Linked DNA regions of Solanum lycopersicum. The protein of the gene in region 2 binds, or shares a complex with, the protein of the main gene of each other region. Links are inferred from orthologs where the notes say so. Each region holds a gene or a part of one and is shown on either strand. Other genes may lie near its edges.

Evidence for each region.
Region 1: large ribosomal subunit protein bL31c (region 2) and large ribosomal subunit protein bL9c share a complex: the UniProt entries of both Arabidopsis thaliana proteins name them as parts of the 50S ribosomal subunit. The link is inferred for Solanum lycopersicum from reciprocal best matches to the Arabidopsis thaliana genes emb2184 and RPL9.
Region 3: large ribosomal subunit protein bL31c (region 2) and large ribosomal subunit protein uL24c share a complex: the UniProt entries of both Arabidopsis thaliana proteins name them as parts of the 50S ribosomal subunit. The link is inferred for Solanum lycopersicum from reciprocal best matches to the Arabidopsis thaliana genes emb2184 and RPL24.
Region 4: large ribosomal subunit protein bL31c (region 2) and large ribosomal subunit protein bL21c share a complex: the UniProt entries of both Arabidopsis thaliana proteins name them as parts of the 50S ribosomal subunit. The link is inferred for Solanum lycopersicum from reciprocal best matches to the Arabidopsis thaliana genes emb2184 and RPL21C.
Region 5: large ribosomal subunit protein bL31c (region 2) and 50S ribosomal protein L27 share a complex: the UniProt entries of both Arabidopsis thaliana proteins name them as parts of the 50S ribosomal subunit. The link is inferred for Solanum lycopersicum from reciprocal best matches to the Arabidopsis thaliana genes emb2184 and RPL27.
Region 6: large ribosomal subunit protein bL31c (region 2) and large ribosomal subunit protein cL38 share a complex: the UniProt entries of both Arabidopsis thaliana proteins name them as parts of the 50S ribosomal subunit. The link is inferred for Solanum lycopersicum from reciprocal best matches to the Arabidopsis thaliana genes emb2184 and PSRP6.
Region 7: large ribosomal subunit protein bL31c (region 2) and large ribosomal subunit protein bL28c share a complex: the UniProt entries of both Arabidopsis thaliana proteins name them as parts of the 50S ribosomal subunit. The link is inferred for Solanum lycopersicum from reciprocal best matches to the Arabidopsis thaliana genes emb2184 and PRPL28.

The regions. Positions count from the first base shown.
Region 1 is NC_090810.1:57,591,530-57,595,706, forward strand, and holds the start of large ribosomal subunit protein bL9c, read right to left. Parts: upstream 2,801-4,177; 5' UTR 2,656-2,800; coding exon 2,518-2,655; intron 2,403-2,517; coding exon 2,275-2,402; intron 732-2,274; coding exon 686-731; intron 550-685; coding exon 452-549; intron 377-451; coding exon 329-376; intron 1-328. UniProt on the Arabidopsis thaliana protein: Binds to the 23S rRNA.
Region 2 is NC_090803.1:66,609,345-66,611,943, reverse strand, and holds large ribosomal subunit protein bL31c, read right to left. Parts: upstream 1,291-2,599; 5' UTR 1,141-1,290; coding exon 1,072-1,140; intron 988-1,071; coding exon 667-987; 3' UTR 501-666; downstream 1-500. Other genes in the region: mannan endo-1,4-beta-mannosidase 7-like, read right to left, coding at 2,435-2,599. UniProt on the Arabidopsis thaliana protein: Binds the 23S rRNA.
Region 3 is NC_090806.1:68,736,326-68,740,514, reverse strand, and holds large ribosomal subunit protein uL24c, read right to left. Parts: upstream 2,801-4,189; 5' UTR 2,671-2,800; coding exon 2,578-2,670; intron 1,170-2,577; coding exon 1,131-1,169; intron 821-1,130; coding exon 590-820; intron 407-589; coding exon 200-406; 3' UTR 59-199; downstream 1-58. Other genes in the region: calcium/calmodulin-regulated receptor-like kinase, read right to left, coding at 3,775-4,110. UniProt on the Arabidopsis thaliana protein: One of two assembly initiator proteins, it binds directly to the 5'-end of the 23S rRNA, where it nucleates assembly of the 50S subunit. Required for optimal plastid performance in terms of photosynthesis and growth.
Region 4 is NC_090805.1:43,261,584-43,265,690, forward strand, and holds the start of large ribosomal subunit protein bL21c, read left to right. Parts: upstream 1-1,307; 5' UTR 1,308-1,430; coding exon 1,431-1,724; intron 1,725-3,179; coding exon 3,180-3,260; intron 3,261-3,650; coding exon 3,651-3,752; intron 3,753-3,844; coding exon 3,845-3,919; intron 3,920-4,107. Other genes in the region: calcium-dependent protein kinase 11, read left to right, coding at 1-72. UniProt on the Arabidopsis thaliana protein: This protein binds to 23S ribosomal RNA in the presence of protein L20.
Region 5 is NC_090810.1:58,850,415-58,854,475, forward strand, and holds the start of 50S ribosomal protein L27, read right to left. Parts: upstream 2,801-4,061; 5' UTR 2,754-2,800; intron 1,515-2,753; 5' UTR 1,508-1,514; coding exon 1,241-1,507; intron 561-1,240; coding exon 459-560; intron 388-458; coding exon 202-387; 3' UTR 1-201.
Region 6 is NC_090803.1:63,903,610-63,905,869, forward strand, and holds large ribosomal subunit protein cL38, read right to left. Parts: upstream 837-2,260; coding exon 501-836; downstream 1-500.
Region 7 is NC_090808.1:67,409,465-67,413,710, forward strand, and holds the start of large ribosomal subunit protein bL28c, read right to left. Parts: upstream 2,801-4,246; 5' UTR 2,652-2,800; coding exon 2,435-2,651; intron 10-2,434; coding exon 1-9. Other genes in the region: uncharacterized protein, read right to left, coding at 3,652-4,246.

The DNA.
Region 1 (4,177 bases), on a different chromosome or scaffold from region 2:
ATTGCTTCAAAAAAACAGTTTTTGCTCTAGCAATAGACGGAAAATGGAATCAGTATACTCCACTGTTCTCGATGACTGATGTTAACGAGTAAGTAACATCGCACAGAAGGAATCACACAAGAAAATAAGCACTGCATGAAAAATATTTGAATTACTTAATAAACCAGATGAATCAGAGAACATCAGTTTTCAAGTTCATGCAAATTCATATTACAGGATCAACCTTATGAAGGACAATATACTTTAACAGTCTTCAATGAACATATAGTAGTAATTAGTTCGCATACTACTATTTACATGCTATGGCAGAAAGATTGGAAAATGGTACCTCTGTATCTGTGCTTTTATAATATCAACGAGATCCTGAGCAGTGACACTGCAAGAGAGATGACGTCAAAAGGTAGATCAAATATTCACCAAGTTGCTCATCACAATTTAGTATTTCACTGACCTTCCAAATATTTGCTTTCCTTTCCCACCCTTACGCTTCACCTTGAAGGCTCCAATAGTTTCAAAAATTCGAGCAAGCTGTTGTGCCTCATCTTTCACCTGAAATCAAAAACGTTTAACTAAAACCACATTCATTATGAAACTCTTTTAGACTTTTAGTGACTTGAAAATAAAAAAAAAATGTATATATTTTTCAACTTTCAATAGATTAGATTAATCAGAATAATCTAATTACCCGTTGTTTTTCAGCCTCAATTTTCTCGTCTTCCATCTTCATTTCCCTGAGTAAAAAGTACATAATGTTATAAAATAAAAATGCATCCATGAAGTTAGTTAATTCTCACTGATGGCGAAGCACGCTAATAGCTATCAAAAATATCAAACCAAAATTGCTTCTAACAACCATCTCTAACGAAGCCTTCACCTATTTGTTTTGTTCTTTAGTATGAAATAGCAAATCCCTTATATATAAGACTTTTACAGGACTATCACACCATTAATGTTAACAGCTGGTTAGGCCTATTGCTCACCCAAAAGCTAAAGACAAAGTCACTAAGTAGTAGGAAATCTAAAGTTTTATATCCAACCATTATCCATCTTATGCATTGTGGGACATTGTATTGAAGACGAATCCGTTATCAATAAATTATATTTGGTTAAAAGAAGCGAATTTACTTAAACCTATAATCATTAATCATACGAAGCACTATTTCAGGGAACAAAAGCCATACAGAGTTTGTGTACTGACCAAGAGTTATAACACCAAAGCCATACAGAGTTTCTGCTCAAGGAGTATCGAAAATGATTATTCTGGTACGACCTTTGCACGAAGATATGTATAATCCATGGGTCCGTCCACTTTTCAGCTAGTTACAATTAGTTTAAAGGATCCCATAGACTAAGTATACCTATTTTATCTCCATTCGACATAGGTCCATTGGTTTAGATAAAAGATAAAACAAAACAAGCAATAGTAATAACATACTTCCACTCATCAACAGCCAAGCAAAGTATTGTGTGTGGCATTTTAAATAGTTGAACCAAAGAATCCTGACATTAATTATGAGGCATGAAAATAAGATAACGAACAGAAGAACCAAAGTCTTGAGTTCAATAATAAGGTTAAGTCGATAATTTAACTAGTCATAATGCAGAAACAGACACTTGAACTCGGCATCAACTAGCAAGAAAACACTCAAACTCGGCATCAACTAGCAAGAAAACACTCCAACTTTGAGTATGCACATCTACACCTCAACTCATCTCCACTGTGTCAGTTGAACACTCCAACTTACAAAATGATCATCTAGGCACCAACCAAATATATTTGCCACATCAACATCAGGTGTCCATGACACACTGTGGATTATGCCGTTAAACTATACAGGGTGATTGGAAATGTGAATATTCAACACTTAAAATCAACTAACAGTCTCCAAAAGGAATACTTAAAAATCCATCCAACACAAGCAGAACCAATTTTAACAAACATTAAGGGGGTGTTTTGTAGCTAGTAAAAAAGCAACTTACTCATATATTAACTTAATGTATAAGTAATACAATGTTTGGCAGTTAGTTAGAGAATAAGTTATTCATGTATAAAATCAACACAAAGTTTAATTTGTAATTCAAAAACCTACCTAACTAATATATAATGTATTATCTTATGCAGGTTACAAGACGAAATAACTGATACCTGCGTAACTCTACCAAGCTACCAAACAACCGCGAACTCCACAAAAGTACAGCTAATGAAAGAAGAACCTAAAAGGCAATGAAATCAAATGGCAAAAATCTAGTTCAAAGTAGAGTTAAACGAGTTACTTGATAAGTGCAGCTGTCACAATTTGAGCTTTGCCCAATGGTAGCAAATAATTCCTAAAGAATCCAGCTTTAACATCCAAAAGGTCTCCCTTTTTACCCAACTGTGAAATATCCTCTTTCAGTATTATCTGTTCCATCAAAACAAAAAATACCCAATTCAGCTATTAACCATAAATGGACAAAAAATGAGATTTTGACAATTATAAATCCAACCCATTATCACATTTTCAAGAATTAGCTCACCTTTCGAACTTTCTTGGCTTTTTTCTGAGCAACAATTGTTAAAATTGAAGTTCTTTCTGAAAATTTCACTGTTTCGGAAAATGGGTTTTTGGTTAAGCTGTAATTTTGGAGACAAGAAGATGAACCCCATGACGCCATAGCTAAGTCTTCCTTCTTCTTTTCTTCACTTTTTGCTCCGTTTTTCTGTATTTTTTACAGTTTATAGCGTTATCTTATCTGTAATGGCGAACTGAAGAAGATAATGGATGTCTTAATGGGCCAACAAAACTTATTGGGACAATTCATGTAAAGCCCATTTCTTAGTCCAATTATAATATTTTAGGCTATTTGGGCGAAGGACAGAAATCACATACTTTTAAGGCAAAATTACCATTTGTTTTTTACAAGTATATAATTACAAAAATTTCTCAAATGATACAATAATATATTATTGTATCATTTGATACATTAATCTGATGTGTGAGATACATTAATCATTAAGTACGATACATTACATTTATACATAATACACTAATCTGATGTACACTTTATACAAGATACATTAATCTGATGCGCGATATACATTAATCTGATGCGTGATATATATTAATTTGATGTGCGAGATACATTAATTTGATGTGCTGATACGTTAATTTGATGTGTGAAAATGAGGGATTTTGGAGATTTGTAAAACTAATAGGGGATAATAATAGTAAGAGAACTTAAAAGTGAGATTTCTATCATTTACCCTTACTGAAATACACGTCTTATATTTTCCTTATTTTCATATATCCCCTTTTATTTCTAAAGACCTCTAAAATCCATTATTTCTTTAATGTATCCGAGCTACATATTAATGTATCCGAGCTAGTATTTAATGTATCCGAGTTACATATTATGTATGCGATTTATTTTATAATGTACCCGATCTAGTTTTTAATGTATCTGAACTACATATTATGCATCCGATTTATGCTATAATGCATCTAAGATACTCTTTAATGTATTCGAGTTACATATAAATGTATCCGATTTGTGTTACTTTTTAAGGGATTAATGAAATTACAAACTAAAGAGGGATGAATTATAATTTCATATTAAAATTATGTGATTTCTAAAATTTATCCAAAAAAAACAGCCCAACATAATACTCCATCCGTCTCAATTCATGTGGTGTTGCTTGACTAAGTAGTGGACATTGGACACGAAGTTTAAAAAATATGAAAATACTTTGTATATCTCAAAACTATCCTTAGAAAGAACACAACTTTGTAGACGTTTTGTCGAATAAGTGGGATCCAGTCATCTACAAAATATTGACAGTGTCATTAACTATTTATCAAATAAAGAAATGTATCGTTCTTTTAGAATTGACTAAAAAAAAGTTTGTCATCTAAATCCGGAGGGAGAGTATTTTACATTCACTTAGCCATATTTTTTTCATCAAAGTCATACTTGTAAAAGCGTACTCTTTCTGTCTCTCATACATTATTGTTTTGTATTTACACATATAAATAAGGGCAACTTTCACATATGGCAAATAAAAAATTCATATTTATATGCTATAACAAATTTTGTATATTTGCTTCCTATAGCAAACATAGAAACTGTATAATTCGCTATACATATACAGTTGAAACAAGTTGTATAAAACGAAGTGTATAAAACAAGAAAGAGAAAG
Region 2 (2,599 bases):
AAAGCATTTTACACAGTAAACTGCAAGAATGGAAGTGCACCACAGCACCAGTACAACTAACATTAGAACGCTTGGCTAATGCAACCATACAAAAGACAAGACACCAAATCTATAACAGACTTTATTTCATCTTTACTTTGTCAAGGATTCAAGGGACGGCTGAAACCCTGAAACAATCAGCCTTTCCAATCACAGGTATAACATTACACCAAGATAGTGCAAAACGGACAAGTTTCGTTCAGTTTATCAGGTAAAGGGGTGAAAGACAACTCATTTGAAACTATTGAACGTAAACTATGATCAATGAACTACACCTGATCCAAACTGTTTTAAGTTAACACAATTTTTTTGTATCCATTCAGCTCTATTAGGCTCATTACATTCCAATAGTCGAAGCAATAATGGCAATCGAAAGCAAGACAATTCACTGGATTCAACTTAAATGCTCTACCAGCCCAACTAATTGATGAACCATATAACAACAACAGCAAATCCAAAAATTTGAAGAACAAAGACTGAATTTTTATACTTCCATTTTCAAATAATAGACTGAGTTCACAACTGAAACCATCAAAATACAAACACAAAATACACAAAACCCCTAATTCTCCAACAATTTCCCCATTTACGAAACGAACTAAGGGAATTACAAACACACAATAAAGTCTACTTCTTCTTAGTAGGTTTCTTCTTCTTAGGAGGAAGCACAATCTCTCCTTTGAGAGTTGGAATTTGCATAATCTGTGTTAACCCACTAAACTTCTTCCTGAATTTCTCTACCTGGTCAGCATCAAGAAGTAGCTGTGAACGACTACCTTGATAAAAAGGATGATTACCTGACCAAACATCAACTGTGTACTCATTCTTTGTTCCCCCAGTTGTCATCACATGCTCTCCATTACAATATACCTTAGCGTCATCGTAGAATTGCGGATGTATATCCTTCTTCCTGCAGCTCCATCGCATTTGATTGCTCCCAATTCCCATCTGCAAAATTCAATTTTTCAACAATCATATACTTTTTAAAAAAAAAAAAAAAAAGTTATGGGTATGGAGATTTTGGGGAGTTACCTTCTTGGAGGAGAATGAAGGAGGAGCGACATTTTTTTGAAGGAAAGTGTTGGAGAGAGTGAGCGCCATTGTTGGTATTTTTGCAGAAGAAGAATGAGAGATGGAGAAAAAGAGGAACGGGTTGAAGATTAGATTGCTTATCTGAGGATATTGGGCTGTATATTTGATTGGGCTCTACTTGGGCTAGTTTTGTATGATGTTACTTTTGGGCTATTACTTGAAGCCCAAGGAGTAGGTAAGGCCCATTTATGTAAATACTCTTTCAAAAATGGATTAAACTCGTTAGGGTTGTTTGGGATTAGTTATTGATTCGTTATTACTAATTTGATTTCTTGCATAAGTATTGCATATTTTTTTAAGAAAAACTTGTTTGTTGTAAAAATATCATTTACCCTAGTAGAAAAAAGGTTTGACTAATCTCAAAAGTATTTTTATTATTTTATTTTTAAGTAATCGCTGTTTTTGGGTGGGCACATGGTAAAACTCCCGCTCCTATACGTTAGTTCGCAAATCACATAGGAGAAATAATCTGCATTAGGCAAATTCGGTGCGATGAGCTCAACCCAGAATTTACTTTCGCTGGCAAGTGATTTTGAACTTAAGACCTCTAACTTAAAAGTTCCAAGTCTTAACCATCTGGAGAAATAATGCTAATAAAATATTATCTGTAGATTATTTATATTTATACTCATATCACCCACCATGTATAGAGTGTCAATTACGACTTCTTGACCATTGAATTTAATACTATCGGTCTCTCCTCTCCGAGACGTGTAACACAAATTGGCCAATTTATAAATCAAATATCCTCCTTTTTCCTTTGTATCTAGAGTTTACCAAATAGTTTTTTGTTTTTTTTTTTACATATTATTGAAAGATTAATTCAACCAGGCATGATTGATAATAACTTAGTTCGATTATAATCTTTGATAAGAATAAAGTGTTTGAATAAACAGAAGTGATGTTGTGCTTACCGCCATAAGCAAATCCAAGTTATTTATCTTGTCCTACTTTCAATTTTTGTTATCCCACACGTTGTATTGATTCATTAATCTTTTTTTTTAAAAAAAAATAATTTCTTTACTATTATATTTCTTTTTTAATATGCTTTGAAATATCTTAATTTATCAAAAATAAACTCTTCAATTTCATAAAATAAAATCATATGAAATTACACTAGATACATCGATACAATCGATGTTTTTTTTAAGGCATAATAAATCACTACTAGAATACTTCCTCTGACATACAACATGTCGAGCAGTACATTACCAAAAAAAAAAAAAAAAAAACATTATCTAACTTCTTGCTAACTTAAATTAATTCATCTCTAACATAAATTAAATCTCTCTAATTCTCATGATTAATCCTTTAATTTCCTTGCTTTCTTCCACTTCTCTATATTCTTCAACCTTGCATACATTTTTCTAATCTTATTAAGCCTTTTAGATTGCTGAATAATAATATCAGAAACAGATGAACTTTCACTCAATATAATCTCATATCCATCTTTAAATGAATCCATTCC
Region 3 (4,189 bases), on a different chromosome or scaffold from region 2:
ATTGTATTCGACCCATTAACCATCAAACTCTAGTACGTAATAGTACTGGCAAACAGAATTTTTGAGTAAATGTACTTTAATATAAAATCTTATGTTACTGAGTTAAAAAGGTGAAGGTGACAACAGAATCATAATATATCAATGAGAGAAGATTCAAAATTAGCAAAATCGAACTAGAATTTACAGACCAGTGGATCTCCTAGGAAGCAGCAGCTACTGCTTCTGTTGTTTTCCCCTTCTCTTTGACTGCTTTCTTCCAGTTCTCTGCACTATCGATGATTTCCCCAGTTTTAATGAGGTACCGGACTCTTTTTCCATTGTCTAAAGTTTTGTGACCAACCCGACTGGCTACCTTCTGCTCTTTTGAATAAAGCATCACGTTTGAGCTGTGAATAGGAGCTTCAATCTGAAACAATAACAACAACTACGTCTCAATCCAAACAACTTGGGGAAGTTCAATCTAAAATCTTAACACAAAGTTTTACTTTCTTGTTAGGGCAAAGATGAATTCGATGCTAGCCACGACGAAATGAAATCTCAAGATAACAATTTTTAGGCAAGATAGAGAAGAAAGAAATCGAGATAAAACCTTGACTATCTGGCCTGGTTCCTCCTCACTCCGACTCTTCACATGCTTGGTTTTCAAGTTCACCTCTTTTACTACTATTTTGCTGTTGTGCTTGATGATCTCGGTAATCTCTCCAATTTTACCTTTGTCATGGCCGGAGATTACCTTTACAGTATCACCCAGCCTTACATGCATTTTGTGTAGTACTGGAAGGCTGTTTGGCTTACATTCTTTACGCTCCCATCGCTTAAGCTGCAAAATAGACATAAAAAGAAGCTCTTATTCAATGATAAAGCTAATTCTAATCACAATTCTCATTAACTGTTGTTTCAGCTAAAAGAATATCATACCCATAAAAATTAGTACCAAAGGTTTAGCAATACAAACATTTGGTGGCCATTTTTAAAAGCTGTTGACAAGTTAGTTCGAGCACTTCCTTCATTACATCATAAGTTATAAAAGAAATGCATGACCACATTAACAGCAACCCTATAAAAGTAGTTGCCGGAAATGTCTATCTCGGACAATATACTAAAGGACCAAAATGGATCAAGATACCAACCTTTGCTGTAATCAAACATGGACCTTCTGCTGATTTAACCTGCACGGCATTATATGGAGATTGTCATTAAAGTGGCAAAAGATTATCCAGTTTTACAGTTGACACAATAAAAAGTGACAAACTGCGTAAGGCGTGATATACATCCAAAAAGTGTTAACCGAATAACAAGCAAGTGCATTTTCTGGAGACAGATCTTATTCCATATTTGCTTCCAATAACTTCTGATTATACAGGTAACTATAATATGAGAACGATTTATTATCGAGGAACACAGAGGCATATGTATAATATGGGTTCAGCAGCACCCAGTAGCTTTAACTCAGACCCTATATATGTATTAAAAAATTGATAAATATGTCCAAATATTAAAATTTCGAACCTTAAGTCAAATACAGGGTTCATCCTATGTTAGAACTTGGAAGACATCAATCACAACAGAGGGGGTAAGTTTAAGTTAACCAATTAGCATATTCTTAATATACTTGACTTTTTGAAGAACTTTTGAGGAACTACTGTATCAAATTGTAGATGTCTTTATATATAAAATTATTCTCTTGCAGCTAGAAATACACTGTGTTTGGTATGTAGTTCCAACTTTCCTGTGTTACGAAAATATTTTCTTTAGGAAAACAAGTTCAAGTTCAAAATAAAGAAAATGACTTCCGTAGTGGAAGTAAGAAAAACAAGATGGATAAGTAGCATTTCAAGTTATCATCACCCAATCCCTCCAACTCCCACTTCTTGACCATATCACGTCCGTCCATCCCCGAATCCCCACTCCCCATCCCATCTCGCCTCCATAGTATTTTGTTGGATATATAACATATAAATGCTCTTGGAATAATATTATCTAGCTTAGTTACCATATAAACACTAGAAAATTAGTAAGTTCCACATTTGTTTTCTAGGTAAACATTTTCCTTCGTACCAAACACGCAGTCAAAACTTATAATAGCGAAAAAACATATGATATGAGAAAGGACTCAGGTAGCAATGGTGACCAAGCAGAGAAAAAGTTCACAATATATTGTAATCAAATAATATAAAATTAATTTATAATCAATAGTACAATGGAAATGGATACCTTTGTTCCTATGATCCCTAATACATAGAAATCAAATTATTCAAACAAAGACCTTTCACAAAGACAATTGAAATTGAGATAAACAGATAGGATATAGCCTAGTGGTCAATGCAGTGGTGAACAACTACGATTTATTGGTTCAAATCACAATACACTAGTTTATTTCTTCGCATTTATGTAAGACTGGATGGAGAAAGTTACTTGCAACACAATTCAATTCTGGCTAGAGGTAGCAGGTATTCTACGTAATTAGTCGAGTTGTGAGCAAGCTGGACCGAATGATACAGTTGTAGAAACAAAACAATTAACATTTGAGATAGTTCAGTTTGAAAACCAGATAGTTGAAGTTATGAGAAAGCATACCAGAGGAAGGGAGAGAGGAGGAGAGAAGCGTTGGCCGAAGAAGGAGGTGGAGGAGATGGAGAGACCAGTAAAGGAGCTCTGCAGAGCCGCCATTGTTCAAAACCTTCTGCAAAATCCTTTTGTTGAAGGAAGAAACAACACTGAGCTGAGTATTTGGATAGGATAATAAAAACCAGAACCTTCGTCTTCTTCTCTCTCTATCCCTGGACACCCGATCCAACTTAATTGGACCTTCAACGGGTCGAGTACGGCCCAATTATAAAGTCCCTTTTCAGCTATTTCGGGATTGTGGATTAATTACGAAAATCTCACCTTTTAGTTTAATTATTATCATTATCCCTTATAAGTTTTACAAATTTCTAAAATTTCACAATTTTCATGCATCACATCAATTTCTATCGCGAATCATATTATTGTATCCCGCGCATCAGATTAGTGTATCATGTATAAAAATGTATCTCGCACATTAGATTAATGTATCTCGAGCATCATATAGTGTATCATGTATAAAATGTACCTCGCGCACCAGATTAGTATATCTCGCGCATCAGATTAGTGTATCATGTACCTCGCGCATCAGATTAGTGTATCATGTATAAAATGTACCTCGCGCATCAGATTAGTGTATCATATATAAAATGTACCTCACGCATCAGATTAGTGTATCTCATACATTAAATTATTGCATCTCGCGCATTAGATTAATGTATCAACGCTTGTATTATTGTATCCGTTTTGAAGATTTTTTGTAATTATAAATTTGTAAAGTATCAATTTGCCCTAATTTAAGAAGGGAAAAATGATCAAGTTTTAATGTTTTATAGGTTGACAAAACATATAAAAGACGAATTGAACAAATAAATATATTGAAAAAAAGTATCGGGGGATTAAAAAATAAAAAAAGCTTGGTTCTTTTTTAATAAAATTAGATTGAATAGGATACTAATGTAGAAGAAGTGGAAAAGCCTGATCTGGGATTTTCCCCGTTTTCTACCATTCATTAACCTTCCACGCAAATTTACAAAAACTTAGAACAAAATTGGGAACAAAGGCTATCATACACTCAGACTATAACATACCCCTAAGTATCCCAAACGAACTCACCAAGACAAAAGTGTGTTTTTGTAAATAAGAAACCTAACAACCTGACCAATTTTACAAGATGAAACAAAAAAATAAACAAATGGAAGAACTGAGTTAAACTTCATACGAGTCAGCTGTGCTATCTATAGATTCAACACGTCGATGTCCAGAGATTGGATTCCGATGATCTACTTGTTCAACATTGATGGTAATCTCCTCTGCTGTTGCAGATAAAGATCGCTTCTGGCGTTTTCTTTCGTGTCTAGACTTGAGTATCCTTGACAGAACCTGCACAGTGTCCCTCATGGAAGGCCGTTTCTTGGCAGCACGATTCACACATTTGTATGCAAGTGCTGCTACATCATTAAGTTCTTGCAGATCATACTTCCCATCAAGACGGGAATCTGCGATTTCCTCCCATCCGCCTTTTCCATCTGTAGTCATGGCTGCCTACAATCATCAATCCTATGGAGCTTAGTTTCTATATGACTGAATAGGCTTCAGAAACATATGCACAATAAAAGAGGTT
Region 4 (4,107 bases), on a different chromosome or scaffold from region 2:
ACAATGAGAGGCAATTTGAATTTTAACTTGGCTGATGCACTTGGAGCAAGTGACAGTGAGAAAAAAGAATAGAAGGTTTCTACTTCTATAATATATCAAAAAATGCATATTATTAGGAAATGTATTATACCAACATTATATTTAGATTGTTTGGTATCTAACTCTCTAATTCTAGCATGATTGTTTACCAGACCAAGCTGATAGAATACGTTGGACCAACCAATAACCAGAGGAGTTCAAGGAGGCTTTCAACCGGACGAGAGGGGTCAAGTAGAGCTGTGTTTGCCAAGACAATGTTGGGCTATTACCAGCATATATTGGTGCTCTATTATTTTGTGATGGTAGATAGATTTAGTGCTATAGTAGCAAAATTTCAGTTGTTGCTACTCTCAGCAACAGCATGCCCAGTATCTTTCCACGAGCGAGATCTGGAGAGGGTGGGATGTAAACAAACGTTACTCCTACTTTTGCTACTTTATCTTATATAATTTGAGGGTTTTTCCTCTAGTTCATAAATTCTAAAATATTACAGTTGTTTGTACCTGAGAAGTGTTGTAAAAACCTTCTTTATGTCTATATTAATTTGATGTTACTGGAAATTGAGTACCTTTTAAGATCATTTTGTCATATATTAAACACTAAAATAAATTTCAGTCTTCTTTTATTTGTGTAATTTTTTTGATTTATTTTTTTTTCCTTCCAATTTTGCGGGCTTGATTTTTAACATAACAAATGGCATTACTTTTGTTCTTATTTTACTCTTCTTACCACGTATTTGTAATCTTACTTCTACGTTTTAAAGATAGAATAATTATTTTTTAAGAGCCTCAAATTAAATAAAACATATCAAAAATAGTACTAGCACTATGAAAATTAAATATAATGTATATGTAATTGCAAAAAGTAGATGGGAGGCTTTACATAACTAACCTCGAGTCAAAATTAAACAATGATGGCTTCAAGAGTAAATGACCTATTATATAATTTAGAATATTTGTTAATCTCTCCATTTCAAAAAGGATGGTCTAGCTTGCCTTGAAACAGAATTTAAGAAGAAAAAAAAATTTTTTAATCTTGTGATTCTAAATTAAAGTTATGTCAAATGTACCAAAATATCCTTTAATCTTGTGGTCTTAAACATGTCACGTGGAAAGTTCAAGTTAAAATATTATGAAAAAAGGAAATGAGTTTTTTGTTTTGAAACAGACTAAAAAAGGAAATAGAGACGTTCTTTTTGAAACGAAGGGAGTATTATGTTACGAGAATATGTAAATTTATACTATTTCTAATACAATTATTTTTAAAAAAATAAATAAAGGATTTCGGGGTAAAATAGTCATTTGGCTACCACTGCAGATAGGATAGGCTTCAACAGATAAAATTGAGAGAGAGACAGAGAATACCCAAAAAAAACCTCTCACTCTCTAACAATGGCAACCCTTTCCCTGTGTTCTACATCTTCCCCCTCAACAGCACTTTCCAAGAACCAAACTTTTCTTAACACCCTTTCTGTTCCCAAAGCAAATTCCAATGTTACTTTTCTATCTCACTCATTTTCCTCTCTCAATCTCCGTTTCTCCAAGCCCAATTCTTTATCCTCTTTTGTACCCAAATACTCAGAATCTGAAGCTCCAGTAGCTGAAGTTGAAGCTGACCAAGAAGAGCCTGTTGTGGAAGCCACTAGCTTGGAACCAAAACGGGAAGAAATCTTTGCTGTTGTTATGGTGACGACTCACTTCCATTCATGTTTAAATTTGTGTAGACATATCTGTTTGTTTTCAATTTCGAAATCAATGTGAGGGTACAATTTAGATTTTTATTGAAAAAATTATGAGGTCCCAAATGAAAATTTGAAAATTCAGCGGAAAATGTTTCAGTTGTCTGTTACCTTGAATTTTTTTCTCGAAGGAAATAGGAAATTGATCTATTCCCTCTAAGGGAATGTTACTTTGTTGTATAGAGATCACAACTTTGGTTCAAGATTGTCATGTGCTCAACCTTTGATATCACAAAAGCAGTCGGAATTTTAATAAGGGGAATTCAAAATTACTCAGACCTATTATTGAAGCAATTTCTCGAATTAACCTTTGCCACTAGAACGAAAACTTCCTTTATGTCAAACGGATTAGAAGTTCCAAAAATTTGTTTTCATGAAGAATGTTCCACCACACCTCACTCACTTAGTTCATATTTCGTGTTTGCTAGTACTGTTGATACATTACTGCTTCCTATGGTGTATGTGGTGAAAATAGGGAGTGTTACAATGAAATTCTTTCGTTCTGTTATTTATACGTCAATGCCATTCTGTGATGCTTAGGTTTAGCATTCTGTTTTAGGGTGTCTTAAAGGAACAATACACATGTCTATATGTTTGTGTCATATTGACTTGGCAGTGGTGGTGGCTATTGGAAATGTTAAAATAGTCCGTGCTAAATAAGCTGAACTGAACTTTTTATATGCTTAGTATTCTCCAGTAGAGTTGGCTGATGTTAACAGAAAACTATAATTATTATGAAGACATGACGAAGATTTAGTACTTGGTATATCCTTACCTGTGTTCTGGACACCATCCAATTTCAAAAATCTCAGTCTATGTTCTCTTTGGTTTTAGTTTAATTTCGTTTTACAAGTGGGCCATCTATTTTCGGTAGGCGTTTCCTCTAGTTAAGTTGCAAAGGGGTTCATATGGCAGATTAGAAGTAATATAACTAATAAATAACTGATAACTATCATTTAGTTCTAACTTTAGGTGTTATACAGTTGTCAGAGGGAATACATATCTACAAGTCCATGCAAACATTTAAGCAAAAGTCTAGTAATTGTTGAAATTTGATTTTGAGGTTGCCATATTCTACACTTTCATCTTTTATTTAATGTGAATTGTGAACTATTGTATTTAACCGGAGAAAACATTCATGTTTACTACTTATTTGATGAATATTTTTTCTTTTCCATGTGGAAAATACTCACTCTTGCGAGGAGATTATAGCTGCTATTTCAATCTGATCATTATTCCTGCTGCTAACAATTTTCAAGTCCTCTAGGTGTCAAATTTTGTGCTTTATTTTGTTCTTTTTTCTTTTTTTCAGATGAATGTGACACTACCCTAATATAACTCTATGGGGCTTGTCTTTAATACGTTAAGCTGTTTGTTCATTTTTGCTCTTTCGCTTTCATAGGTTGGATCTCGGCAATATATTGTTTTTCCTGGGCGGTATATCTACACCCAGAGGCTTAAAGGTGCAAATGTCAATGACAAAGTGAGCATTTTTGGTCTTAATTTACAATTGATTTCCCAAAATCTGGTTACCTCTCTGTGGCTTTGGCTTTAGTTACGTGAGTTGTTTTTCTTTTTCCTTGTCTCGCTATCTCATATCAACATTGTGGTGTCCAATCAAAAAGAACTTGCTTGCAGCAATTTCTCAATTATGTCAAAAGGCATCAATTTCAACCAATAGTGACATTTGCTTGTCCTATTTCTATTATCTTTAATACATTGTCTTCACCAGTTATTTTCCACGGAAGCTAACACTTGATATAAGGGTTATATGTGTATGTCAAGGTTTTCTTGCCATATTGGCAATACTCTTATTTCAAAATTTCCACAATGAGGATCATTGTTGAAGCATCTATACTTGTTGCTTCTGCAGATTATCCTAAACAAGGTGTTACTTGTGGGAACAAAAACAAGTACTTGGGTTGGAAAACCAGTGGTGCCAAATGCAACAGTCCACGCTGTTGTTGAAGAGCAGGTCAGACATCATTCTTCCTCTGCTGTAGTTTCCACTGAGTATATCTTGTTTACTTGACATATCTGTTGGCTCATTATTACATTTCCATGCAGTTGAAAGATAAGAAGGTTATCGTCTTCAAGTATAAGAAGAAAAAGAACTACAGAAGGAATATTGGTCACAGACAGGTATCAAAGAACTGTTTTTAGTGATATCTGAATAACTATAAAGTAGTTTGAACTTTTTTAACCTATCTGTTTGCCCTTAAAGCAAGGCGCACCGTAGTCTATCATAGTTTTAACTATGTCTGCAAATAATTACCATGCAAACATGAAAACTGTCTAAATCAGTGAGCTTACAGCCATGTATGAGACAT
Region 5 (4,061 bases), on a different chromosome or scaffold from region 2:
ATCTTCTGAATCATACATTTCATTCTGTACTCATACAAACTGTGACAAAGACTCATGCTTTCAGTAACACAATTTACAAACAAAAAAAGACAACAATGGCAGAAACACAGTTTAGAAAATGTGCCTGCAAATGTGTTCCCAAGTAGCTACTAGCAATAACCAAAACGACAACAGAATGTTTGAAAAATCGAAAGACCATTATCAGCAAGTGGTGATGGGATTATCTTCAGAGGATTCAGCAGCAGAAGCAACTATCAACTGAGGCTCAGGGATGACACCTTCTCTTCGTGCCTTTCTACGTTCACGTTGTAATCTGAAGGACTCTCTCTTTCGGTTTCTATAGCTGTTGGGGTTTTCAGGTTGCACCTCGCGTGGATAAACACTTATCTGCACAGTCAGTATACGTTAATAACACTCGTGTACCACATATCTACAAGCAGTAAGCTAAAGAACTCAACCTTTTTCCTGTCAGGTCCAAACTTTTCAAATTTGACTAGTCCATCAATCAAAGAAAATATTGTGTGATCTTTGCCAAGTCCAACATTCTTTCCTGGGTGGAACTGGAAATATCACCACGAGAACGATTAGGGAACAGAATATATGGCAATGCTAAACGGAGAATGCAACTTTTGAACTACTCTTAGAGCAAACAAACAGACGATAACAGGATCATATCAGAGCCGAAAAAAAGTAAAACTAATACCAACCTCTGGCATAAACCCTTTTACTATCTAACTGATAGAAGACGACATCTACTCATAGCATCATACTGTCAGAAACTGACACTTTCGGCAAAGAAAAAAAACTCAAGTCGGATTATAACAAATGTGCATTTCTTAAAGAGAACTTCCAACTATGTCTTCACGACACGAGCTCAAAACCTTAAACCTTATAGCAATCTGTTACTTCAAATGACAAGATATGTATCCCTCTAGTACCTTGTTTTGTACTCAATCTAACGCCCTCTAGACAATCCACATATTTCTAACAAATAATATACAAACCAAACGAAGAAAGCCAGACGAATGGAGCAGAGTTATTGACAAGATGCCAGGACCTAGTATGTTTGTGAGGTATTGAGCAAAAAAACTGGAATTACACTCTACTTGGGTGGGTTCATCCGAATTCATTTCAAGCACTATTAATTAATCAAAAGAACTATCAGAACTTCCACAGCAAATACGAGTTTTAGGCAAAAATAAAAAAGAGAGAGGAGATCCAGAAGAAGTAAAATTGAAACCTTTGTACCGCGCTGGCGAACGATTATAGAACCGGGCTTGGCGACTTGGTCACCATAAATCTTGACACCAAGCCTCTGTCCAGGAGAATCTCGACCATTCTTAGTGCTACCAGCTCCTTTCTTGTGTGCAGACTCAATTGTCAATGGAGATTTCAACGGGAAGGAAACGGAGAACTTAGGGGCAATGGGAAGAGAAACCCCAAGGAGAGAATTGGAAGATAAGGAGAGTCCTTTGAATGAGGAAACAAGACTCAAACTCACTGCCATTTATACGCTGCAAAGAAAACAAAGAAATTCAGTAGCCTCTCGTGGTACTTACTATCAGAGATGAGAGGCCTAAAGGAAAGGAAGTGATATTTAACAATGGGAAAAATATGAGCATAGAACTACTAAGAGGACAAAACTATTACCATAACAACTACCAAGGATCTTAATCGCCAATCTAAAATTTCCCCGGATCATCGCGAACACAAATTGGAGAAATATATTTTTGATAGTAAGTCTACAGAAGGTTTGACTCTGACTTTAACACTGCTCGGTATGACTAAAACAGTAGAAGAGTGATAAAAATGGTCCTAAACATATTTCCTAAGAAAAAAAGTTTTCCATCAAAAGGGGGAAATAACTACTCTCACTTATGAGATAAGTCATTTCCTTTTACTACGATTTCAGCTCTTTCTCCTTATCGCTCGCTCCAACCACTGTTTAGATAATATTGTCATTTCTTAATACTCAGCTTTATCAAAATATAAAACCAATTTGCTGAGCTTATTATCAATCTTCAAAAAAAATACAAAACACACACTCCTAACAATAGAAGTACCTTAAGTCCTCATTACAACTATCTTTACTCCATTATATATCTCTTGCATTTCAATACACATTACTTCCACTCATTGTTTTTCTTTTCAAAATTACACCAAACATCAACCCCCCTCCACCACAAACGCATTTCGCAAACTCTACACCACAAAATATTCCGCAAATAAGTCCTTACGCAAGCAATTGGTCATAAAAGAACCATATTTAATCATAAAGGACAAGTCTTTAAACCACAAAACAAAGAGGAATCAAAGGAAACCAGTATCAACAACAAAATAAACACTAGTATGTTCATCAAGATTGCAGTCCACCTAAAATATTAGTAGCGGTCAATAAAGTAGATTGATAACCATAACGTCTCAAGTTCAAATCCTAGTGAAGCATAAATACTAACCCCCTCCATTTCAATTTCCAATAGCAACTCTTCAATTCTAACTTTTCACATTAAACAACATTTTGATACATTCGACATAACATTAGTTTTACTTCAACCCCACTTGATTAAAAAAAAATCTTTACTTTCTTATATTATTTGCCAAAGTCGAACCACACAAACAAATTGAAATGGAGAGAATAGTAAACCAAGATTTGCGAGTCAGCTAAAATTAAATACATTTTCGAACACCCAATTAAACATAGTACAAGAAAAAAACATTGAATTTACAGAAGAGGGGAAAAGAGATGAACTCACCGAGGGGATTATGGAGCCACAATGGCAAAATCTTCGAGATAAAAAGATAAGAGAAATGTCAGCCATCCTTTTTATAATATACTTGACCCGTTTTGAATTGGGCTTTTTTTAGCTTGTTTTCGGGTTAAGTTTAATGGTTTCGTTTATCGAACATAAGTTATGGACATAAATTAATTTTGCTTATAAATATTGAAGTTGTAAATATTTTTATCGAACTTGTAAAGGGGAATAATATGATTTTAATTAGTAAAATAAAATGTTTTTTCAGATATCTTTTCTTCGAAACTAAAATCCAAGTGATTGTTTTTATATTTTTGAAAACGTTTTTTAATCTCAAATTGATATTCTGCGAAAAGTATTTTCAAAAAATGAAATCATATTTAAAAATTTTTAATTTAATTTTTATCGAGAAAATTTCATACTCCTACTTACGGGCATATATAATATGATTTTTCGATAAAAAGTATAAGAATAATTTTTTTTTGCATACCTCCATACAAGTACGGTTAAGAATGTCAAAATGAGCCTAAATATATATAACTCGTCTAACTCATTTAAAATTTTATAGGCGGGAGCTCTAGATATTTTGAATTGGATCAATCTCAACTTATTTACGTTTTAGCCCATTTTAAAATAATTTTTAATTGTGTCCAATGTAATCTCTAATTTCAACATGTTTTAAGAGTATTTTTTGTATTGGTGTAATTTATGTTCTCATATTGAATGCATAAATTAGAATCTATTTTATATTTTTTATGATTTATATATCAATTTTATAACTGTTTTTATTGAATTAAAATTCAAATAATAGTTATTAAAGGAAAATAACAATATGTTTAAATTATTGAGATTAAACATGTCAAATCGCACAGGTCATGATCCAATCCAATGTTTATCCTATTTGAGCCTAACATAATTTGAAGAGGTTATGATTCGACTTAAATTTTATTTGAACTCATTTTAATATTTTAAATTTTAATTCAACCCGATTATTTAACACGCCGACCTACAATAATGCCACATTATTCTTGAAAATTGCTCATATTATGCTTCTTGAACTAGTTAGTGGAATTGATTGCTCGAGTCAAAAGTTGTGTTGGTAAATTAAAGGATTTAAAAGAAGAATATTTAAAGTAAAATAGATTGTTTAATTTATTTACTTTTATAGGACAAGAACAAGTGGAGAATATAAATGCCATGAACCTAATTCTTTCAAAGAATAAATATATTTATTGGTTAAAAAATAATATTAGGTGAACATTTTAAATATATCTAAATTTCAATATATAAAATTAATACAATAAAATA
Region 6 (2,260 bases), about 2.7 Mb from region 2:
TCTGGAGGGCAAATAATTGGGTTTCATACTTTGTAAATATGCCATTTACAGTAGGAACATAAAATGTACATTGTTGGCTCGTCTAATCTACTGGATAGTTTGGTTTTGATCGGAATGGTTGTTGCGACATAGTTCAAAGGATTCCGATGTTGAATGAGCGAGTATATTGCCTTAATGCAAATACAAACATAGCTACTGTTTTCTCATTCATTGTTTTTAGTACGAGACCCCTCTCCCCGATCACATTTGATATTTGCTTTACATAATATATAATTTTGCTATTTTATTATACGGAACCGATATTCGAAGGATATTGTTTATTATCTCACAAGCTACGGCATTATCCAGTGGCATTGAATAGATTAAAAAGTAAAGCGTAAAACATTCATTTCAAATCACTTATTGCGCCAAAACTGCAATTGAACAAGTTGCAAATTTCCCCAAAGTATCAGACGGAAAACACCATTATACAAAAGCCGAAATGATAAGTTACAGAAAAATTACTCAGATTTGGCGTCGGACTCTGAAGCTCCGGCGGCAGCGGGTTGACCCGATTCATCACTGGCAAAGGACCACTCCGATGGTAAGGGAGGTAACGGAGCATAAACAGCTGGTCCACGTCGAATATCCCAAGCTTGAGTCTTCCGTGGACGTGTCTTCTTATGGTGAGCTGTAGCCTTCTTCTGTGGCCTAGATGAGCACTCAATTACCAATCCCCCGATACTTGTGGGTGCCGACGCCAACCTGGTGGCTCCGCCGGTGAATCCGGTCGCTGAAACAGTTGAGGAACGCGGCAACACCGCCATCTGCAACCCGAATATGGCGGAGGCTGACATTTTCTTTTTTCTTCTCTTCAAAGGTTTTTCCTTCTTCTGGCTGTGTTTAATGGAACCTTTGAAGTGGATTGCCTTCGTTATCTTCTGGTGACTTCAGTTTCTGCTAAGGTTACGACACCGTTTGGCATTTGGGCCTTAAAGCCCTTTTGGGTTATTTGAGTGTTGGATGTAGTAGAACAACAATTGGTCTGGCCCAAATAAATCTGTGGGATCATTTACACTTTTGCTTCTATTTAGTGTTGGTCTTTAATTTATGTATAGTTTATATTTTTGTATAATAATAACTTACCATTTATGTTCATATATTAAGTCTGAAAACTAAACGTAACTTCACAATCGATAGGAGCGATGGACGGTGTGTATAAAGGGCAGAGACGGAGAAATTCTTAGTTAGAGACCCAAAGGTCATTGTGATTAAAGAATAGTTTATGAAATTTTAGTACATAAGTGAATATAATTTAGAGTCAAAAGTACACGGCCTAATTGAGTTCAAATGAGTAATAATCTTATAAGATCATGGGACACAATTCCTCAACTTGTGTCTGTATGTTTGGTAATGTTTTCAACTAGTCATAATTATTTTAATCTTTCTCTGATATTATATGATTTAATATAAAAGTTATTGTATAATATATGGAGCATAGTAGTTGTATTTTGGACATAACTATGAGAAGTGAATGTTGACTATTAGTAGGTTACATGTTTAGAGGAAATGACTTTACTTCTAAAAGGTTAAATTGTTCCTTCAATTGGTGTCAAATCGTTTCATTTTCCTTCCTTTTTCGATGATATTGAAGTAAACTTCACTTGAATGGATACTTTTATTTTTTCATTACCATAATAACACTTTTTTGTTATTAGTTGCTTATTTAGGCACAACTTGAGTTCACGTGTACCTATTACTCTTTCCTTGCTATAATATATATGTGTAAAATCACCCCACTCCAGAAGGATTAATAGTGTTTTTTATCCATCAAACGTGAACTCAATCACTTGATGTTGAAGGCGACTCAATCAATTATTACATGACAATCAAACACCGTGAAAAAGATACTTGAAAATAAGTAGGTCATACAAAATACACCTGAGTATGATTCTTACACATAAAAGAACAAACATATACGTCTCTTTGCATCTACTGTTAGCCTTGTGAGTAATATTATAGGCCAGTCTATCCCATTTGTAGTCCGTGACCTTTATTGTTCCCCCACTTATATGAATCATCAAGATTAATGGATTGACCAACTTCATCTGCACTAATCAGCCCAAAACATCCTATAGCCGAGTAAAAATGAGTTGGTTACCTCTAGCATTTTGGCAATTAGTGCTTTGTTTTATTGGAAAAAGAGTTAAATTGCATATTTTTATAACTCTGGTGTCCGATCCAGTATCATGTACCCTGATAGTCAAAGATGAAAGAAAAT
Region 7 (4,246 bases), on a different chromosome or scaffold from region 2:
ATACTCTACCTGAAAAAACAGAATGTATTCTCTTAATATTCTATACGCTACTTATCATAAAGAGGCGCCAAGATATTCGAGCACAACCGACAAAAATGCAGGAAAGCAGGGGGGGAAAGGAAAGATCATGATGATGTAAGGCAAAGGATGCTTCACTGGGAATATTTGATTACTCTTGTCCCTAATTTGTTTTATTTTACCTATTAGCTCAAAGGCTTTAAGTAGTTTTGGACTAAAAAAACAAAGGAATTCAGGATGCAGTTTGACAAATGCAGCAACTTAGAAAGGGAGTCAAAGCAAGCAAGAGTGTCAGTGATATAGTGCTCCTAATGACTCTCATAATGTGCTTTCTGATTAGTAAACTAAAGCTTCATCAGTGATCTAAAAGCCAAATACTCTGCCATTACTGGATTTCACAAAAGGTAAGTCAACCCTTTACAATTTGTTGTCATACAATGAGAACGAATTAAACCAAGCTGTTATCATCATATTCAAAATATAATGTACACCAGAGGGGCGAACACACCGAAGATTCAAGTTCTGTAGATTTTTCCTTCCAAATCTGCAGCTAACACACTCTCTCAGCCTCTCATTATTGGTTTCGTCTTCTTTTTAACTAGTTTGGTCACTTGTAATAAGGACACAGGTGGGTAAATAAATATTAAAAAATGCAGAAGGTGAATTTGAGAGGTAAATGGATTTACATATTCTTGATAGCGAGAAATCTACTTTCATAAGCTTTGAATCTCATAAAGCTTTTATTTCACTATTAGGCTGCAAGTTTCATGGAGAGAAGAATAGGCAGATGGAAATCCTGCTCATTATCAAGAGAGGTGAAAGCAAGAAAATGAAGCTCCCTTTAGGCTGCAGTCAGTTTTTAATGAGACCTAAAAGGCCTCGACAAGAATTATAATATCTTCTCATGCATATAGTATTTCTTTTGCAGCTTTGTCTATGAATTGCAGCAAAGGAATGCAAACTTTGTTAACCAAAAAACTGTTGATACCATCTATATAAGAAATTTATCATGAAATAATTTATAATTCTTCACTTGGACAATCTGTTATGCCTTAAATATCGGCAATCCTTAAGTCAGAGAACAAAGAGCCAAGGAGGAAAAATTAGGGATCATTCAGTATATGAAGACAACTATGGACAAACTTCCAAACTATATACCGTATTTTATTGATCTTGTTGTTATTAATGCAGTTAACGCGGCAGCTCCCTTTAATCAATATGCTGTAGTCCATCAAGCTCTTCCCAGTTTGTTAATTTTGCACATGGTGAGGTTGTCCTATCCCTATTTCTTGCGACTGTAGACAGACTTTTAAACCCCTGGAATGATGACACCCCTTTAATCTCTCCTCTTGAAGTTATATAAGAAGTTGTTTAGATAGTAAACTATAATATGGTTTTTAATCATTGATTATCATATGTAACTTAATAATATGTGATTAATGTCAAGTGCTCAGCTTACCATACCACAGATTTCAAGAAAACAATATATTTAGTTTGCAAATTGCAACTGAATCAAACTTTTTCCAACTTTGGCTATGTCTTCAGATCCTCCACATTGTAAGGGATAATTTTCATCCCATATCAGCAATACTAACTTTCACTTGGTACTAAACAATCTAACGTAATGTGCTATCAACACAAAGCACATATCTGAATTCTAGACACCCGACTACTAAATGGGGTCTCAGGTATGGAATGAGCAATTATCTGAGTAACACTCATGATGATTTCGGTCCTGTGACCCTTTGAGTACGGCCACTCCACACACACACAAATAAAAAGGCTACCTGCACCAAAATGATGATTCATCGTATTAACATTTGAAAGTTATCATCTTTCCTTTTTCCCCATCAATGTTCAAGAAGAACTTACTATCCCTACTTCATGGGTAGAGGGACCGAAGGTGTATACCATACAGTATCCCTTTGCATGTGATCCAATTAATTGAAATTCAGAAAGCTGAAATGTCACCTCTACCATCAATAGGTCTACAAAGTTAATATTTCCGCCCCTCGAACTCGTAACCTTCAGGTCAGCAAAGGAGCAACCTTGCAATTGCACCAAGACTCTTTTTTTATTTTAAATAATGGTAATGTCGGGGTCAGTTTGCACATACTTCAACAACCATTACCCTAAGTAACAAGTACTTAACTAAACTTCAAATTATCAGATACAATTTCCTTTTGACAATTGTGGTGTATGGCCAGTATGCGCACACCTCGACTAATTCTAAGGTTACCTACTGCCTCCCCACAAGCACAATTTCTTACACACAATTCACAATATTGTTAAAACCCAACAATTCACTGAAACAAACAAAACAACAAACAGTTCATGTGCATATTACTAGACCAAAAAAGAAACAACCCCAACAACTAAAAACACAGAGAACACAACAAAAGGGTAGAGAAATTACGAGCAACAGGTTGAAGGGCTGTCTTGAAAGGAACAGAAAGTGAAGCAGGAGAGCTCAAATGGGTGCTTGAAATCTTGATGCCACTCAATTGAGAAGTCACAAAACTCAACTCTGAGCTGAATTTCACCTTGGGTAAAGCCCTTTTGGTCACTGCAAATGTCCTGTAACCACCCACTACTGGTCCTCTGAGGCTTATACCCGCTGTGATTGTCGCCATTTTTGCAACCAATTCCTCAAAGCAAGAATCTTTTTTGTCTCAAGAATGTTGCTTTTTTTTTTGAAGAAGGAAGTGAAGAGTGGATAACGAAATGGATGTGGGTAATGATTTTATTTGTTGGCCTTCATATTTTTTTTTATTGTTATTATATATTTAACTTATTTTTTCCTTTAGTCTAATAATATCAAACGATTTAAATAAAAGAATAAATAAATAACAAAATCTAACTTATTTGGAAGTAATATGTTATCATAGTTATGCTTTAATTTTATTTGCATTACTTGTGTTATCTTAGTTTATGCTTTAATCTTATTTCCATTACTTACTCACGTGGAAGTCTAATATCACAAACCAAACAAAGAGAGTATTAAGCCTATACCAAAATCAAATCATTATTAAGCCTATACCAAAATCAAATCATTATAATATTAAGCGTTTTCTCCCTCTTCAGGTTCCACTTATGATAAACCAAACAAATAGACCAAAATCAAATCATTATAATATTGAACGTCTCTACTATCTTCAAATCAATCACACTATGTTATGAATGTCCTTATCTCTCTAACCAAACAACCCCTAAAATCTGTTATCCCATCAACTGTCCAACTGAGTCAGTGACCAACATCATTTAGAACTACAAGCACAAGACATTAAGGCAAAATAATAAGAAGGTAAATAAAAGATTTCAAGAAGCCATAAGATTGTGCTCCTGTATATTGTAAGTAGTAGGTAAACTGTTGCAACTTAAAAACAAAGTTCATAATTTTTAGATGACATAATACAATGGCTCATTCCTTCATCCCATTCTACATCTGGGAGAAAACATGTATTCCGCTTCAAATCGGGTACGACTCTCGCACTAACAAAAGGGTTAACACCAAGGCATCTCAATAATGGTAAAAATTGCAAACAAACATTCAGTTAAGCATTGTGAAATCCTATGTTAACGTCGTTCAAGTTTGGGGAGATCTGCATAAGGTTTTGAATGGGCCAAAAGAAATTAGTTTTGTTTAGCAAACTTTGTCTGATAGAGATCAAGGGGAACATACTCCACAGTCACTATTCGGTCGTCAAACAGTCGTCCATGTAGACAATGAGCAGCCGTGCATGCAGCTTCTGCTCTTCTAAACTCCACAAGTACACAGCCCGGATCAAACACTTCAGTAATAGGGATTTCTTCCTTTTTCTCAAGTTCCTCTGGAGCATCCAACTCTTCTTTCGATGAGAATTCTGGTTCAGAAGGTCTATCGTCTACATTTCCATTGTCTTCCTCTGACTTAATTGCTTCCTTAACTGGTGAGTCATTGTTTATCTCAAGATGCTCCAGTGGACTGGGATTAGCATTTTCATCTTTCCTTTCTGAAACCATACCAGTACGGGTAACCTCGAGATTTTCTTGGAAGATTGTCTCTTGAGCAGAGACACTACTGTCATCTGGTAGAGGGTCAGAGCTGTCGTCTTTTATTAGCTCCTCAGAAGGTCTATCATCCGAATGACTGCCACCAGCCAAAGCATCGTCATCCCCAGCCTTTTGAGAATCATCTTGTGAAGATTCTGATATGTGTGTTTTACTATCAGCACATCTTTCAGCTTCC